Linked DNA regions of Rhinolophus ferrumequinum. The main gene of each other region encodes a partner of the protein of the gene in region 2 in a complex. Links are inferred from orthologs where the notes say so. Each region holds a gene or a part of one and is shown on either strand. Other genes may lie near its edges.

What was found.
Region 1: the proteins of TNNT2 (region 2) and TNNI3 are in contact, whole or in part, in a crystal structure (PDB 4Y99), measured with the Homo sapiens proteins. The link is inferred for Rhinolophus ferrumequinum from reciprocal best matches to the Homo sapiens genes TNNT2 and TNNI3. Residues at the interface, in NP_001263274.1 of Homo sapiens: Glu214, Lys217, Lys218, Ile221, Leu222, Arg225, Arg226, Lys227, Leu229, Ile231, Asp232, Leu234, Asn235, Glu236, Leu239, Arg240, Ala243, Lys244, Leu246, Trp247, Ile250, Tyr251, Leu253, Glu254, Ala255, Glu256, Lys257, Phe258, Asp259, Leu260; in NP_000354.4 of Homo sapiens: Arg68, Glu71, Lys72, Ala75, Leu76, Arg79, Gln81, Pro82, Leu83, Leu85, Leu88, Gly89, Phe90, Leu93, Gln94, Leu96, Arg98, Leu100, His101, Arg103, Val104, Asp105, Val107, Asp108, Glu109, Glu110, Arg111, Tyr112, Asp113, Ile114.

Annotation. Positions count from the first base shown.
Region 1 is NC_046298.1:48,372,830-48,376,570, forward strand, and holds the start of TNNI3 (troponin I, cardiac muscle), read right to left. Parts: upstream 2,618-3,741; 5' UTR 2,464-2,617; coding exon 2,453-2,463; intron 2,179-2,452; coding exon 2,166-2,178; intron 2,035-2,165; coding exon 1,948-2,034; intron 1,516-1,947; coding exon 1,474-1,515; intron 1,169-1,473; coding exon 1,037-1,168; intron 649-1,036; coding exon 559-648; intron 1-558. UniProt on the Homo sapiens protein: Troponin I is the inhibitory subunit of troponin, the thin filament regulatory complex which confers calcium-sensitivity to striated muscle actomyosin ATPase activity.
Region 2 is NC_046310.1:962,125-965,865, reverse strand, and holds the start of TNNT2 (troponin T, cardiac muscle), read right to left. Parts: upstream 2,518-3,741; 5' UTR 2,454-2,517; exon of another isoform or gene 2,345-2,453; intron 1-2,344. UniProt on the Homo sapiens protein: Troponin T is the tropomyosin-binding subunit of troponin, the thin filament regulatory complex which confers calcium-sensitivity to striated muscle actomyosin ATPase activity.

The DNA.
Region 1 (3,741 bases), on a different chromosome or scaffold from region 2:
ACAAAGACTTGACTTGGAGCTGATGGGTCCTGGAAAAAACAGTTCCCCAATAAAATTAAACAAAACAAAACAAAACAAAAAAACCCTCACAGACAGTGCCGTGTGAGCTGGTGCATTGTCATGATGCAAGAGCCATGAATTGTTGGCAAAAAGTTCAGGTCACCTAACTAACTTTTTCATGCCCCCTTTTCAGCACTTCCACATAGTAAACTTGGTTAACTGTTTGTCCAGTTGGTACAAATTCATAATAATCCATCTGATATCAAAAAAGATTAACAACATAATTGCAACAAGTTCACGAACTTAATGTCAGACCTTTGTATTTTCACAAACATGTTTTCTGCTGTCCTACATCCTGGCTTTTGCATGTGTTGTTCCCTCTGCCTGAAACAGCCTTGCCTGGCCATACTGAAGTCATCCTTCTGCCCCCTCCCTACTAGACTGACAGAGTTGTCATGGGTCTCCTTAACCACAAGCAGCTGCAAGGGACCAGGCTGACAACAGCCCCAGGCATTGCACCCCACCCTGAAGGGAACCAGACTGCCCCGTGCCTCCCACCTCCGTGATGTTCTTGGTAACTTTTGCCTCCACATCGTATCTCTCCTCATCCACCTTGTCCACACGGGCATGAAGCTGTCGGCACAAGTCCTGGTGAAGGAAAGTGGTGTGTGTAGTTGGGGGGAGCCTGGGGACCTGGACTCTTGGGTCTGAGGGAGGAATATCTGGGGACCTGGACATCTGGTCCTGAAGGAGTAGACTGAAGCTGAATTCTGAGGAACTGAGAACAAAGCAGAACTCTAGAGCAAGGAGTCCTGAGAATCTGACAGAATTAGGGCTGGAAAAAGCAACCTCTGGATTTTTTGCAGCTGCAGGCCATATTTCTGAACTTGTGAGGGTAAGGATTGGGAGATTGGACCCCAAGGTCCTGAGCAGAAGGGGGACAATAGTGACTGTACCCAACTCCCAAGGATGCAAGATCGGACACGAGGAACCTCGGAACCCGGGCTGGGCAGGAGTCCGTGATTAGGGCCGGTACCTGCAGCTCCTGGAAGCCCAGCCCGGCTAACTCCAGAGGCTGGCACCGCGTGCTCAGAGCGCGTCCCTTCTCTCCACGCCGATCCTCCGCCTCCCGCTCCAGCTCCTGCTTCGCTATCTGTAGCATCAGGGTCTGCAGAGGGGACGCCGGGACCACAGCCCACCGGGGTGAGGGGTTCGAAGTCGCAGAGGGGATGCCCCCTCTGTCTGGCCCTCCCTCTAATCTCTGGCGGGGTCCTTGGTCTTCCAGAGACACGCCTCCTCAAGGTCCATCATTCCAAGGCCCCGCCTCTCCTATGGCTGGGCTCCCCACCTCAAAGTCACGCCCCCAAGACGCACCACTTCAAGCCACGCCCAATGACAATCCAAAGCCCCGCCCCAATTTTCAAGCTCTGCCACCCAAGGACATCTAGGCGCCCTCTCCAGGCCCGTCCGCACCTTCAGCTGCAGTTTTCTCGAGGCGGAGATCTTAGACTTTTTCTGCCAGGGTGAGATAGAGAGAGGATCAGGAAGGGGGATCCGAAGGTGGGCGGTGGGAGGGACTTAAGAACCCACCACCTCTAGTCAGGTCGAGGATTGGGCCCGCCTCCAACTCCAGCCCTAGGTCTACGTGAGGCTACGCCCCTCAGTCCCATCCACCAATCTGGGCCCAATATTCCCTAAGCAATCGTAGTTCCCCTGGACAACGGAACCCCGCCCATAGGCAGCTCTGACAATCCGATCCCAGCCCCTTGAGAACCCCCCGCCCCCCATCCAAAGCGCCTCATCCCTTTTGGCTCCGTGAATGACTGAAGTCCCGCCTCTATTAAGGACCTGGCCCCGTCCCCATTTCCCAAGGTACGAGTAAACCACCTCAGAGTCTGAATCCGGACCCCGCCCTTGCCCCGCCCGCCGCACTGGCCCCGCCCTCACCTTGGCATGCGGCTCGGTGGCATAAGCGCGGTAGTTGGCGGAGGAGCGGCGGCGGATCGGAGCAGGCGCGGGGCACGAGTCCCCGGCCTGGGTTGGGGGGACGGAGCCGCATTACCACCAGGACCCCCAGCTCCCCTGTATGCTCCAGCCTCCCGCCCCAGAGCCCTCCCGGCAGCGCCCTCCCCCGGCCCGCGGGTCCGGCCCACGCCTGCTCTCACCGCATCGCTGCTTCTGAAGGGAGAGAAACCAGGAAAGGGGGGTTAATGCTGGGCCTCTTTACTGTCCTGTCCAGTCCTTCTCCTAAGGGACCCCAGAAGCCCCTCTGACCAAGAGGTCTGACCACCAGCTCTCCCGACTCTGGTCCCAGGAGTGTGATTCCCAAACTCTTAACCCATTCCGACTCCCAGGAGTCCTGTCTCCACCTCCCTTCTCAGGCCAGGGGTCCAGCCTCCCAGCTCTCACCCCTCCCAGGGACCCAGGAGACCGGGTTACCAGCTTCACTCACTCGTCTGCCATGCTGAGACTCTAGCCAAGTGTTGCAAAGGCAGAGAAGGGCAACAGGCTCTTGGAGGGTCAGTGAGGGGGCGTCCGGGGTGACCTTGAAGACCCTTGGGACTTCGTCGCGTCTGAGCAGCTCAAGCCTCACTGAGGACACTGATAAAGGGCGAAGGCAGAGACTAAATATACTGCTGCCCTCTCCTCCCTCTGCCCAGGATGCGAGATAACAGGGCACGTGAGGGGTGGGATGGGCCATGCTTCAGCTGGATCACCCGTCCACATTGGTGGACTGGGAATCCAGCCCGGCCCCTTAGCTTTGACCCAGGAGTCCAGGCCCCCAGCCCCTCCTCCTTCAGACCCAGGAGTCCAGGCCCCCAGCCCCTCCTCCTTCAGACCCAGAAGTCCAGGCCCCCAACCCCTCCTCCCTCAGACCCAGGAGTCCAGGCCCCCAGCCCCTCCTCCTTCAGACCCAGAAGTCCAGGCCCCCAGCCCCTCCTCCTTCAGACCCAGAAGTCCAGGCCCCCAACCCCTTCTCCTTCAGACCCAGGAGTCCAGGCCCCCGGCCCCTTAGCTTTGACCCAGGAGTCCAGGCCCCCAACCCCTCCTCCTTCAGACCCAGGAGTCCAGGCCCCCAACCCCTCCTCCTTCAGACCCAGAAATCCAGGCCCCCAGCCCCTCCTCCTTCAGACCCAGAAGTCCAGGCCCCCAACCCCTCCTCCTTCAGACCCAGGAGTCCAGGCCCCCAGCCCCTCCTCCTTCAGACCCAGAAGTCCAGGCCCCCAACCCCTTCTCCTTCAGACCCAGGAGTCCAGGCCCCCGGCCCCTTAGCTTTGACCCAGGAGTCCAGGCCCCCAACCCCTCCTCCTTCAGACCCAGGAGTCCAGGCCCCCAACCCCTCCTCCTTCAGACCCAGAAATCCAGGCCCCCAGCCCCTCCTCCTTCAGACCCAGAAGTCCAGGCCCCCAACCCCTCCTCCTTCAGACCCAGGAGTCCAGGCCCCCAGCCCCTCCTCCTTCAGACCCAGGCGTCTGGGCTCCTCTCCCCTCACTAAACTGCAATCTCCATGAGGGCAGGAGCTTTGTCCTTCGTTGTTTTTCATCTTATGGTTAGGTTCAGTGCCCCAAAGCTGTCAGCAACTCAATGTATTTTGTTGATTTATTTGAGGATCCAAGTGTGGGGTGCTCAGGCACTCAAGCGACAGCACCAGGAAATCCACTCCTAGTCTACTTGGAAACCCAGAAATCTGATGTTGGCTCTCCTTTTCTAACCACTTCTGACCCCTTCCTTGCCCCAACC
Region 2 (3,741 bases):
TCACAGCAAGGGTGACAGTGGTCCAGGTCATTCTTGCCCCAGAACAGACAAACTGGAATTTCATAGCTCCGTTCAAAACATGAACTCTCTAAACAATGTTTCTAAAGCTTCTGGACCTCTCCATCCTGCAGAGTGCTCAGGGAAGCAGGTGTTACCCACCCCCCATCCGACCCCGCTCCATGTGGTCTGCCCGTCACAGCCAGGAGTTCCCCGGAGGAGCAGTCGCCTGGCTGTGGTACGACCACAGCATGGGATAGCATTCAGCGACAAAGAGGAACAAGCCACTGACACACACAACACCCTGGGTGGCTCTCCAAGCAATTATGCTCATGGGGGACAGCCAACTTGGATGACTCCATTTCTAAAACAGCCTTGAAATGGGACAGATTGGTGGTCTTCAGGGGCTGTGTGGAGGGTGGGAGGGAGGTGGGCGTAGTAATAAAAGGGGCACGAGGGCTTGGCCTTAGAACCTTCCCAGGTTCAAGTTGTGTAGAATTTCACACACACACAGTCCCATGGAGCTGGGGAGAGCTGAGTAAGGTCGTGACAGTAACAATGTCTGCATCCTAATTGGGGCTTGTAACATAGTTGCGCAAATGTTACCGCGCAGGAACTGGGCGAAGCGCACCAGGTCCGCCTCATCAGGGTGATTGGCCAGAGAGCCACCAGCCCAGAGCGGGTGGGGAGCCTGTGACAGAAAAGCACTGCCCGGGCCCCAGGGGACCATGTCTGAGAACTGGGGGGGCTGCTCCCAGACCCGGAAGGAGTCTGTCACCTCAGCGAGGAGGGAGACGTTTCTCAGGGGGCTTGTGCACGGCCAGCCTGGCGTGCGGGGACTGTGGCATCCTCTCTCCTCTCCTGCCCTGCCTCCCACAGCCTCCAAGCCACTGGGCCTGGGCCTGGGTCAGAGGAGGGAGCAGCAGGAGGACCCTTCTTCCTGCTCCTGGGAGCACCACCCAGCATCCAGAAATAGCCTCCCGGCCACTTGGAGGTCGTGGCCAAGTCGTTGGCCAAAGGCAGAACTGAGGAAGGGGCAGGTGACAGACAGAGCTGGGGGTTCCAGAATAGGAGACAATCAAGAATCTGGCAGAGCAAGTGTGACAATGTCCCAAAGCAACTGTCCTTGCAACCACGCCCCACCTGCTTCCACAGACTGCTTTCTGTATGACAGCCAAGAGCAGGGTCACCTTCCTGGGGGACTAAAGCAAACACAATAGATGGCAGAAATGACACTGGCCATGGGGTCAAAACAGCTGGGTTTTTTGCTGTGTGACCTTTGTTCAGTCACTTAACCTCTGGGCCTCAGTAGCCTATCTGTAAAACAGATGAGCTTCAAGTTCTAATCTTGCAGAAAGTCTCTGAGTTTCTAAGGAATGTAACCCCATCGCTCAGCATTTGTCCCCAACGTTCAGCTGGGATCGTCCTAAGCCTGAAGCTGTTAGTCCATCAGGAGAGCCATGGGACAGGGGAGTGGGAGCTGCAGGAAGGAGGGCGGGGCAGGGGGGACCTTGATGATCTGAGATGCCTCTTCTGCCCCGAGGGCTCAGGGCTCGCCCTACGAGACAGGTCAGAGGAGGAGCTCAGAAGTCAGGTGGCCCAGCTGCTCCACACTTGGAATGTGCTTGGAATTCCTTACACTCCAGGCAACCCCTTCCCCAAATATTTTCTCAGCCTGCCCGAGAGAAGCTGGAAAATCAAGGGAATGTTTATCTCCCCATGGTCCTACGGGGTGGGGGGGCAGCTAGACTCAGGGTTAACCCTCTAAGCCAACGGGCTGGGCTCACAGATCCGCAAAGACCTCCCAGAGGGGTCCCCCAAGTCCCCAGTGCTGCTCAGCCTAACACTCTGAGTCTGGGAGTTTGGATGAACTTCACCACCAGCTGGGAGAGGCCTCCGGGTCCCTGCCAGCTCTGGACTGTGGTCCTTCTCCATGCTTGCCGGGCAGTTTCTGCGTTCCTGGAGATGAGACTTGGCCCCAGGACCGCCCTGCCTGATATGGCCAGTCTCGCTCCGTTCTCTGAGGATAAAGAAGGACCTGCCTGAAAGCTTGGGGAGGGACCCTCAGCTTGGAGGGAGGGGGTGAACAATCTGTGGCGTCCCTGTTGTATTTAGGGCAGGCAGAGCCCCAGCGATGACCTAGTCCCTTCTACCGATGAGGAAACTGAGACCCAAGGATGGAGCTTGTTACCTAAGACTTAACCAAGTACGTAACGTCTTCACTGGCAGATCCGGGACTCAAACCCAGTCTCCAGTTGCTAACGGAGGCTCTGAGCCTTTGTCCTTGGAGTCCCACCCCTGTAACACCTCCTCCAAAGCGTGGCCTCCTCTCGGAGGGAACAAGCACCTCTGTCAACGCCGACGTCCCTCAGAGTGGACGCAGGCAGGCTGGATGCAGGTGCCGGGACGCAGGGCCTCTTCCCTCTACTCTCTGCTCCCCCTCTAGCGAGTCTTACCTCAGAACGAGCTGCTGCCAGACCAGGACAGGGAGTGGGGGAGGGCGGGGGTGCCAGGGCTTTAAGCAGGCGTGGGGCGTGGGGCGTTGGAGCCGAGCCTCGGGGGAGGAATGTGCGGGGGAGGGGGCGGGCGGCTGGTGGTCGTGGGAGGGGAGGGTGTTGGCTGCTATTTTGTCAGGTGCCGGGGACAGGGCTAAAGAAACATGTACCCCACGCCATATAAGCCCATGTGGTCATCCAGCTGCTCAGATAAGCTATTTAAAACCAAAGCAGATATGTGGGGAACTGAGGAGGGAGCGGCATGTGACATAAACCAGCTGTCCCTCTTGACAATCGTGATAAAGCAGATGCCAGCGGCCCAGCCTGGGAAGGATGCTGGGAGCAGGGCTGGGGACAGGATCAGCCTCCAAGACAATTCCCAAGTGTCTGGACCGGGGGTCTTCTCCTGGGCTGAGTGGCCTTTGCAGGATGAAGGCCTCGTGAGGACATGTGCAAAGCGGGTCTTCTCCACGACCCCAAAGCCACATGACAAGCCCTGCTCGCTGGGAAGAGACCAGAACCGCTACAGGAGGTCAGACAGAAGGTAGAACTTCCAGTCAAGCGTGGTGGCTCCGTGGACAGGCAGCTGGCTGTGTGAGGGGCCGTGAGGCCCTGGGGTCACCCTGTAGGGCTGTGACACGCAGCCGCACAGGACCATGACAGGCTGAACCCACCGACGGGGAGACACGCGAGGGGTTCTGTCGTTGGCTGGCAAGTGTAGGTCCACTGCCCCGAGCAACGTGCCCAGGACACCTCAGGGCTCAGGACGTGCGGAAAACGAACGAGAGGAGGAAAGCGTGACTGATGGCAGCTCAGCTGCCACCCCTGACCTCTGAGTCTTCAAGGCCTGTCCTAACCCTGGCCGAGGCTCACACCTCCCTGGACCCCCGGCCTCTCGCTCATCAGTGACCGCACTCCTCGCTGTGGCCACACACAGTCTTCCCCGCCCGTTCTTGCCTCCTCGTCCCCTCGCCTGAGCATGTGTCCAGCCTCTCCAGTCCTGTTTTCTCTCAACCCTGCTGCCCGCGGACACTGCGCTGCGCCCTCTGCTGACGTCCTTGAGTCCCCACAGGCCACCGCCTATGCCCCATCACTGAACTGAAACCGTCCCCTCCAGGGGCCCCAGTGGCCTTGGAGCCCAATGGCTTGATTCCCCACCCCCAGGCGTGTCCCCTGCCACATGGCCCTCACGCTGCCAGCAGATCAGTGGCAGGACGAGCTGAAGCCACCTGCCGGCCAGCCAGCATCC